Drosophila melanogaster: one gene and its partner. The protein of the gene in region 1 interacts with the protein of each later gene in a pairwise test. Each region holds a gene or a part of one and is shown on either strand. Other genes may lie near its edges.

Region 1 (3,600 bases):
CGGAAATTTGTCGGGTATCCTCGAAAGCCAAAGAAAATAATTGTGCTACGTAAATTTGGAAAAGCAACTAGGGACTATAGCTGTTTAAATATCTGTCCGGTCTAGAAACGCATCCGCCTTGGTCCCGTCGCACGTTTACGCACTACTTCGTTGCCATTGGTTGCCTGTTGTCGTTTCCTCGGTGTACAGCTGCTGAAATTTGTGGTCTTCAAGGCTGTGGATATATCTACGGGGATCACTACCTCGCCAGTCTCCTCAGCCTGCTGCGGTGCTGGCTGCTCCTGCGGTGCTGGCTGCTCTTGCTCCACCACGGGTATGAAATCGGCATCCTCTTCTTTCTGAGTGTTCTCCTCTGTAAATAAAGTACGACGCACGCAGCGCCTCGCTGTTGGCGGCGTTGAATCCTCCTCGGTATCCTCCTCATCATCGGTGGTTGGATTACATCGGGCGCTGGCCCGTCGTGCAAAGGAAATGCTGCACAGTGGCGGAATCAGAGTGGATCGTTTGAGGCTTGTCAGACCCCGATCGTAGACAGCCAGGCAGATTTCAAAGCCGCTCACTTGACCGCCGGGCAGAAAGGTGCTCCGATAGCCCAAAGTAAGGTGGACCGCGCATGACTCGCCCATGTCCAGGCCGCCGTAGATATGTTCATTACGCTTGTTCAACAGGCCACACGCCTCCACATACTTCAGGGAGTTCAAATTGTAGCTCGATGGACGGGGCGGTGTGATCAGGGTTGAGGAAAACTTTTCATTTACCTCCTCGTCATCGCTCTCTGGACGCACATGCAGAGTGGTGCCTGTGCGCTCCTTCTCCTCGTAGATGCGACGACGTTCCGAGTCAAACGATCTGCCGAAGCGCGCCTTCAGCAGAAGTTCGTCGCCCCACTCAATTTGTGCTGCTTCCTCGAATCCCTCGTGCTTGTAGCGCATTGTCAACTGGTTTCTCAAAAATCCGGTGATTGCCTTGGCGCCACGCACATTTCGACTGTAGAAGCTGAGGATGCAGTCCTCCCCCAGGTCGCGGCGTATGGTCCCATCATCTACGCCATTGATGAACTCATGGATCACCTCCAAAGGCGTCTCCTCTGAAAATAAAGCAAGCGGATGAGATGCGATGCGATTCCTATTGATCAGCCCAATCGCATACAGCTGTTATCCGTTGGTTTGCCACTTACTATGTTCTTCTGGAGCGCTCATTTCCTTCAAGTATTTTCATGCGATTGCGCTTATAAAAAATAAATATAATTTACAATATATACAATTCGACTTGGACACTATGTTGTTGATACAACAATGTTTTGGTAATATGCCATATCGGCCAGTGTTGAAAGTGACGCTAGCTATCGGCTCGAGGGGTCAGGGGTCAGCGCCTACTTGTAATTCGGCTACTGTTGTCCCGATAAATCTTTACGTTAGTTGTACTTGTAAAAATCACATTACTTTAATCTGTTAAGTCTATTAATATTGTTTGATTTTTATTTAAACGTTAATTGTTAATACCATATATCGCATGCACACTTGAGGGGCGATAGTTGGCATTCCGCTGAGAACTGGTCACACCGCACAGCGGGCCAAGCTCTATAACCGATACTAGAGGTGGAGAAACATCGATGTTGGCGGACTCAATGTTTTCGATGTGTTTGGCGAAAAACATCGATCTTTGGCAGACTTAGTCGTTTACAACTTAAGAATTATTTTCTTCTTTAATATTGCTAACATAATATTGCTTTTCATACGTCGCCGGTCCAGTAAGTGCTCCCATAAAACAAAAATACTAATTAGTCCAATTCAATGGATAAGTAAGCCAGTATACATACGAGCACGTGCACGCTTACACGTTTATGGAAAATTAATTTTTACGTACAATTTATACACTTTTATCTCCGATGCGCAGTATCGATGGAAAACCATCGATGATTCCTCGAAACACATCGATGCTTGTGATTTTTCGAAAACATCGATGACATCGAGTTGGCATCGATGTTTCTCCACCTCTAACCGATACCTTCTATCATACATTGAAGACGGATTAGCACCGTCGACCACGAAAAAAGAACGCAAGGAAATCGTGCAAAATGTTCAAAAAGTACGTATGGCATGAGTTAGATGGGGACATCAGACTAACCATAGCAATTCGATCTGTGCAGATTCGAAGAGAAGGACAGCATTTCCAGCATTCAGCAGCTGAAGTCGTCTGTGCAGAAGGGCATACGTGCCAAGTTGCTGGAGGCCTATCCCAAGTTGGAGAGTCACATCGACCTGATCCTGCCCAAGAAGGACTCGTACCGCATCGCCAAGTGGTAGGATGGCTCAGTTCTTGCCACAGCACATAACTCCATTCATATTCCCGATCCCTACTCCTCCACCAGCCATGACCACATCGAACTGCTGCTAAACGGAGCCGGCGACCAGGTGTTCTTTCGCCACCGCGATGGCCCCTGGATGCCTACCCTGCGCCTCCTGCACAAGTTCCCCTACTTCGTGACCATGCAGCAAGTGGACAAAGGCGCCATCCGCTTCGTCCTGAGCGGAGCGAACGTCATGTGTCCCGGCCTCACATCGCCAGGCGCCTGTATGACGCCGGCCGACAAGGACACCGTGGTGGCCATCATGGCTGAGGGCAAGGAGCACGCCCTGGCCGTTGGACTCCTCACGTTATCCACACAGGAAATGTAAGTGTGCTTCTACCACTTCTTTAGTAGTTAATATCTAAGAATATTAATTTATATGCTTGCATTTAGTTTACTTAAATGTGTTTAAATGTTCGTCTTTGACATTGTTTTATAATACAAACGTAGTAGTTTGTTGCTAGGTTAAATATGGTAAAGCTTTGTAACTTTGAAATATTCTTGAGCTTGGAAAAATCAAATTGTGAAAGAATAATCATAAATGGACAATGTTACCAATTTGCTGAGCCGTGTGCATATTTTTTAAATTTGAATAAACCATGAACATCTTTCTTTTCTCTTGACTTTTCCACAGTCTGGCGAAGAACAAAGGCATCGGTATCGAGACGTACCACTTCCTCAACGACGGCCTGTGGAAGTCGAAGCCCGTGAAGTAGGCGAAATAGGAATCTGCACTTGCACTTTTTAGTCTTCTATGTCATGAGAGCAAAGAATGGTTTTTGATATACGCAACTGAGTCCTGATTATTATTTTTTTCTACTAATTTTACTCTGTCAGTTAAACTATTTAAAACATTGCGAAATATAATTAATGGCATTTCAAGCGAGCAGAGAGGGATTGAAAGAGAGAGTACTGAAAAAGAAAACCAACCACCTGTGGAGACCAGTGGTCCAGGTGAAAGGTGTCCAGTGGATCTAAATTTGAGCATTTTAATCGGATTCGGCAGGTATGACTGAACATTGAGTCTTCTGTTTGGCGGTCTTCATTCTGTTAGCTCTTATTTTAAGAGTGACTGAATAACTGTGACTCCTTTTGTTTATTGATTAGTCTAAAGAGCAACGAAACAAGGCCTGTAGCTTAAAGTTTGCCAGGGCTGCGAACAACTCATACAAACATTTCAAGGTTATAGTTGATATCCGGGCACTTGTGAATACACGAAAAGATTGTATACAAAAAAGAGCTTATAACTA
Region 2 (4,137 bases), on another chromosome or scaffold:
TTCGCTTTTTGCCAGTCTCCATTCTCTCTTCCTTCTGGCTCTCCGCTCCTTGATTCCTTGATTTTTCCTTGCGCGCTCGGTTTGTTGCTATTTTTCCGTGTCTTTTCGGGGGGTTGTTGGGTTGGTGTGATTTGTTTATCGGCGGGCTGGGCGGGGGCGGAAGTTCCTCGAATTCTGGGTTAACGCAGCACAACAATTTTTGTTTATCGCTGAGCAAAGGCGCCGGTAACGGTAAACTTGAGAGCGACGAAATCAGTGAATGTGCCAAGAGAGAGAGAGAGGGAGGTGAGAGTGCAGTGAGTGCGCAGAGAGAGAAAATCGTTTTTTAGAAAATATATTTTTGATATAATTTTTAAGCAGTTAAAAATGTTTACCCATTTAAAGACATCCGTTAATCTTGGTTTGAATTTCATCCGTTTGCATTGTTGCTTCTTACTCACGTAACATATTTCAAAGCATACTTTTTGGATTGCTAATAATTAAAGAAAATTTAATGTACGTAAATAGCTGGAAAAGTTAAATTAATAATTATTTTCATGTGCACTTTTTTTAAGTAATATATTCTTTAATATATACATACCTAAAAACCCTATAACAACACCAAAATTTAAAATAGATTATTTAATTTATGTTCGGAAAACTATCCAAAAATAGTTTTCGATATCCAAGTTTCGTTATTTATTTTTGCTTTTGTCGCTGTTTTACATACTTTTTGCTTATACAAATGTTTCACCGTAATAGTCAACCCATGTATTATTATTCAAAATAAAATAAGCTATGTTTCATTGAGAGATTATACGATTCTGTTATCAGAGCCAAATATATTTCGTTATAAAAATATGCGTCTGTCTAGTTTTTATAAAAATTTGCTAGTTGAATAGGTAAATGCAAGTGTGGAAGGCTTCGTCACAATTCGATTAACTCTCAGTACTTAATGAGGGAATGCACTTTTCCATCCAGCCTTTTGCGACCCTCCAGTCCAACTAGTTCCATGACCACCAGGCTCTCCACGACAACGCCACCCACCTTGCCGATGAGTTCAGTGGCGGCCACCAGGGAACCACCTGTGGCTAGTAGATCGTCAACGACAACGACTTTTTGGCCGGGCTTGATGGCGGATTTTTGCAGCTCAAAGGTGTCCTGGGATAATTAAGTTGAAAGCATAAACATCTTTGTGCTTGGGAATAGTAAGTAATATATTTGGGAGTACTCACAATACCGTACTCCAGTTTGTATTCCACGGAAACCACTTCTCCCGCCAGCTTGCCCTTCTTGCGAATCGGAGCACATCCCAGGCCCAGCTCGGTGGCTATGAGGAGATTAAAGAGGAAGCCCCGCGAGTCCAGTCCCACGATGACCTCCGCCTCGGGAGCACTTTCCCGGATGTGATCAACAAGCAAATCGCGCAAGTACACACATGCCTTCGGATCGGTGAGGGCTCCGAATATGTCACTGATGTTTAATATGAAAACAAATGATTTTACACATTAACAACCTGATAAGGGTCCATTTGCTCGCCCATAATCATCATCGCAGCACTATTAGTGCTCCAATCTAATAACCTCGAGTGACGATAACTCACCGGAACAGAATGCCCTCCTTTGGGAAGTTCGGATACTCGCCAATCTTGCTCTTTACATAGTCTAGCTTGTCTTCCGCGCTGATTGAGGGGCTCATTTTTCTACTTTTATGTTTATTTATTTATTAACTTAGTTATAAGGGACTTTTTACATGGGTTTTCTGACTGTAGCGCTACGTGAGTGCGTGCCCAACTGCGGATTGCCGTACGGAACAGCTGATAAGTCAGCTGATATCGGGGAAGGTGGTTGCTATAGATGGGAGATATGCCACACGATGAACGGTCGTGTTGAGTTCGCTGCGCGGTCGATTTGAAATTGAGGTGGATAAGGTGCTGTGGGGACTTTTAAACGCTTTGAAAATATAAATTCGGAAAAAATTAATATAATGCCAAATCGTCGGTATTTCACTATTGAAAGCAATCAATATAATTTATGGGTTTTGATTTAGTTAACTACAACCACTCTTCTCTTTATGATATATATTGATGATATGATATTTCGTATATTTTCTGTGTATTTCCACATTTATCTTAGAGTTCTAATGTCGGCTAGCTATTTCAAAACCAAACATTTGGTTTGACATTTGCTTGCACAAAGAAAGCAGTTCAATGAATGCGGCAAACATCCTGCAGGTAGACAAGAGGCATTAAGAAACCTCCCCCGACTTTTCTCTGGGTCTTTCTCCAGATCTCGAGGCTATCAGATAGATAAGTGGAGAAATCTCAGTAATTCTTTGAGGGAAAGACATTGAATGCAGCACTGTTTATCGAGCTAAATGATTGAAAAGAAATGCCAACAATTTTCGCTGCACTTATCAAAGGCGGGCCAAGATCGGGAACTCTCACCTGGACTCCATCTCTCTCTCTCTCTCTTGTTCCCTCTTTCTCTCGGTGGCCCACTCACACAGGCACGCAAGTGAATGTGAGTATCTGTGTGTCTGTATCTTAGACTCCCAATGCCAAGAAAGATTCAGTTCGTTTCTCAGCGCCGAACGCGACGGTTCAGTTTTATTGGTTTCTTCGGAAGAAGCGGATCGAATTCGAATTCCTTGCCCGCGATTTTTAATAATTAATGCAAACTCGCGAACAATAGTAGTAAATTAAAATAACAACAATAGTCCGGAGGAACAGCTAAAACCGAAACCTGTTCTCGACCAACGTAAGCAGCGAAATAACGCATGAAAAAGCAAGAGTTTGCAAATCCTCAGTTTGAATTCGATCTTAACGGCAGAAGTAAATGTCAGACGACAAAACTGCGCCCCGTTTTTGCCATTTTAAATGTCGGAAAACGACTCTAAAGGCAGCCATAAACAACAACCATACTGCAGTTACTCCAATAACAACTGAAACAACAAAGTTCAAACAACATAAAAACGTGAAAACCTACAAAAAATATATACATATGTATCTATGCAACATTAGACACAATATAGCGAAGTGCAGAAACACATTCACAATCGCATACTTGTACGGTTGCACTTGGAGAAATAATTGGGAAAATAGCTTGAGAAACTTGTCACAAAAGCATTGTAGTCTTAGGTTTAAAATTGGTTTAAAATAGTTGATACTTTTGGATAACCTTCAACTCGAAATGGTTTCTGAAATATTTTAGAAACTTAACGCAATTTCTTCTCAGTGTGCTAGTCACACACACATGCATAACTTGGCAATGTGAAGACGTGCGTACGAAAACTGCAACTGCAACAACAACTGCTGCAACTGCAACTGCAACAACAACTGCGCGCCCGAGTAACGTGAAAAACCAGAAAGAGGCACAGTTTTTTGTTTTTCTGCTGGGTTTTGTTTTTATATTTCTTTTTTGAGGCAAACGAGCATCTCTACTGAAACGAAACTTCTGCGGCTGCGCAGAGGCGGCCTTCGTGATGAAGGGCATGGAAATAGGGCGCTCGGAAAGCAGCAGGAAAAAGGGAAATTTATGGCCGAACTTTGGAAGATGGATTGTAATATTTCCAAAAGTTATGTTATGAACAGATGGTTCACATATTTCACACTGCAGAGTGTGAGTCAGTAGAGCTGATTCAGATTAGCTTACGATTTGAAATATCCCTGATATTAGATAGAACCTCTAGCCGCTCCTGACTTTTTCGTAGGCAAAAGCCGAGTGAAGAATCTCGTTGTGAGCTGCGATTATGCATAGACCCCCATTGTAGTTGTTTGGGCCCGTTGATCATGGTTGGCAGCTTGGTATGCGCGAATGTTTGCTAACATCCAAATCGTGATCTAATAAAAAACGTAGGGAAACAGAGACACATACCAGCGGCCCACGAGCGAGTGGATGAGTGAGCGGACCAGCTCTGGATGGGATCGGGTCGGATTGAAGACTCTTCAAAGGGGCTGTGTGGCATCCACCACCAGCAACTTTCGCAAAAAGTAAGCGCTGAAAAAAGCGGACTTCTCCCAAAATGGATGGCAGCTGGAACGGCTGTCAATACATTGAGTAACTGACCGCAAAAAAAGTAAAATTTTGCCGGTTCTCCGTGTCTTCAATCCCGTTCCGTTTTGCGGTTCTCCCTGCTGGGAGGAGAAAAGAAATCGTC

The links.
Region 2: the proteins of MCTS1 (region 1) and Aprt interact in a two-hybrid assay, tested with the Drosophila melanogaster proteins (one large-scale study listed by BioGRID).

What each region holds. Positions count from the first base shown.
Region 1 is NC_004354.4:6,035,892-6,039,491, forward strand, and holds the start of MCTS1 (malignant T cell amplified sequence 1), read left to right. Parts: upstream 1-2,000; 5' UTR 2,001-2,077; coding exon 2,078-2,088; intron 2,089-2,149; coding exon 2,150-2,302; intron 2,303-2,371; coding exon 2,372-2,674; intron 2,675-2,984; coding exon 2,985-3,066; 3' UTR 3,067-3,600. Other genes in the region: rux (roughex), read right to left, coding at 102-1,087, 1,178-1,199. UniProt on the Drosophila melanogaster protein: Regulates translation as part of a complex with DENR. Specifically required for translational re-initiation in mRNAs containing upstream open reading frames (uORFs). Not required for standard translational initiation.
Region 2 is NT_037436.4:1,883,109-1,887,245, forward strand, and holds Aprt (adenine phosphoribosyltransferase), read right to left. Parts: upstream 1,912-4,137; 5' UTR 1,678-1,911; coding exon 1,583-1,677; intron 1,453-1,582; coding exon 1,215-1,452; intron 1,141-1,214; coding exon 925-1,140; 3' UTR 784-924; downstream 1-783.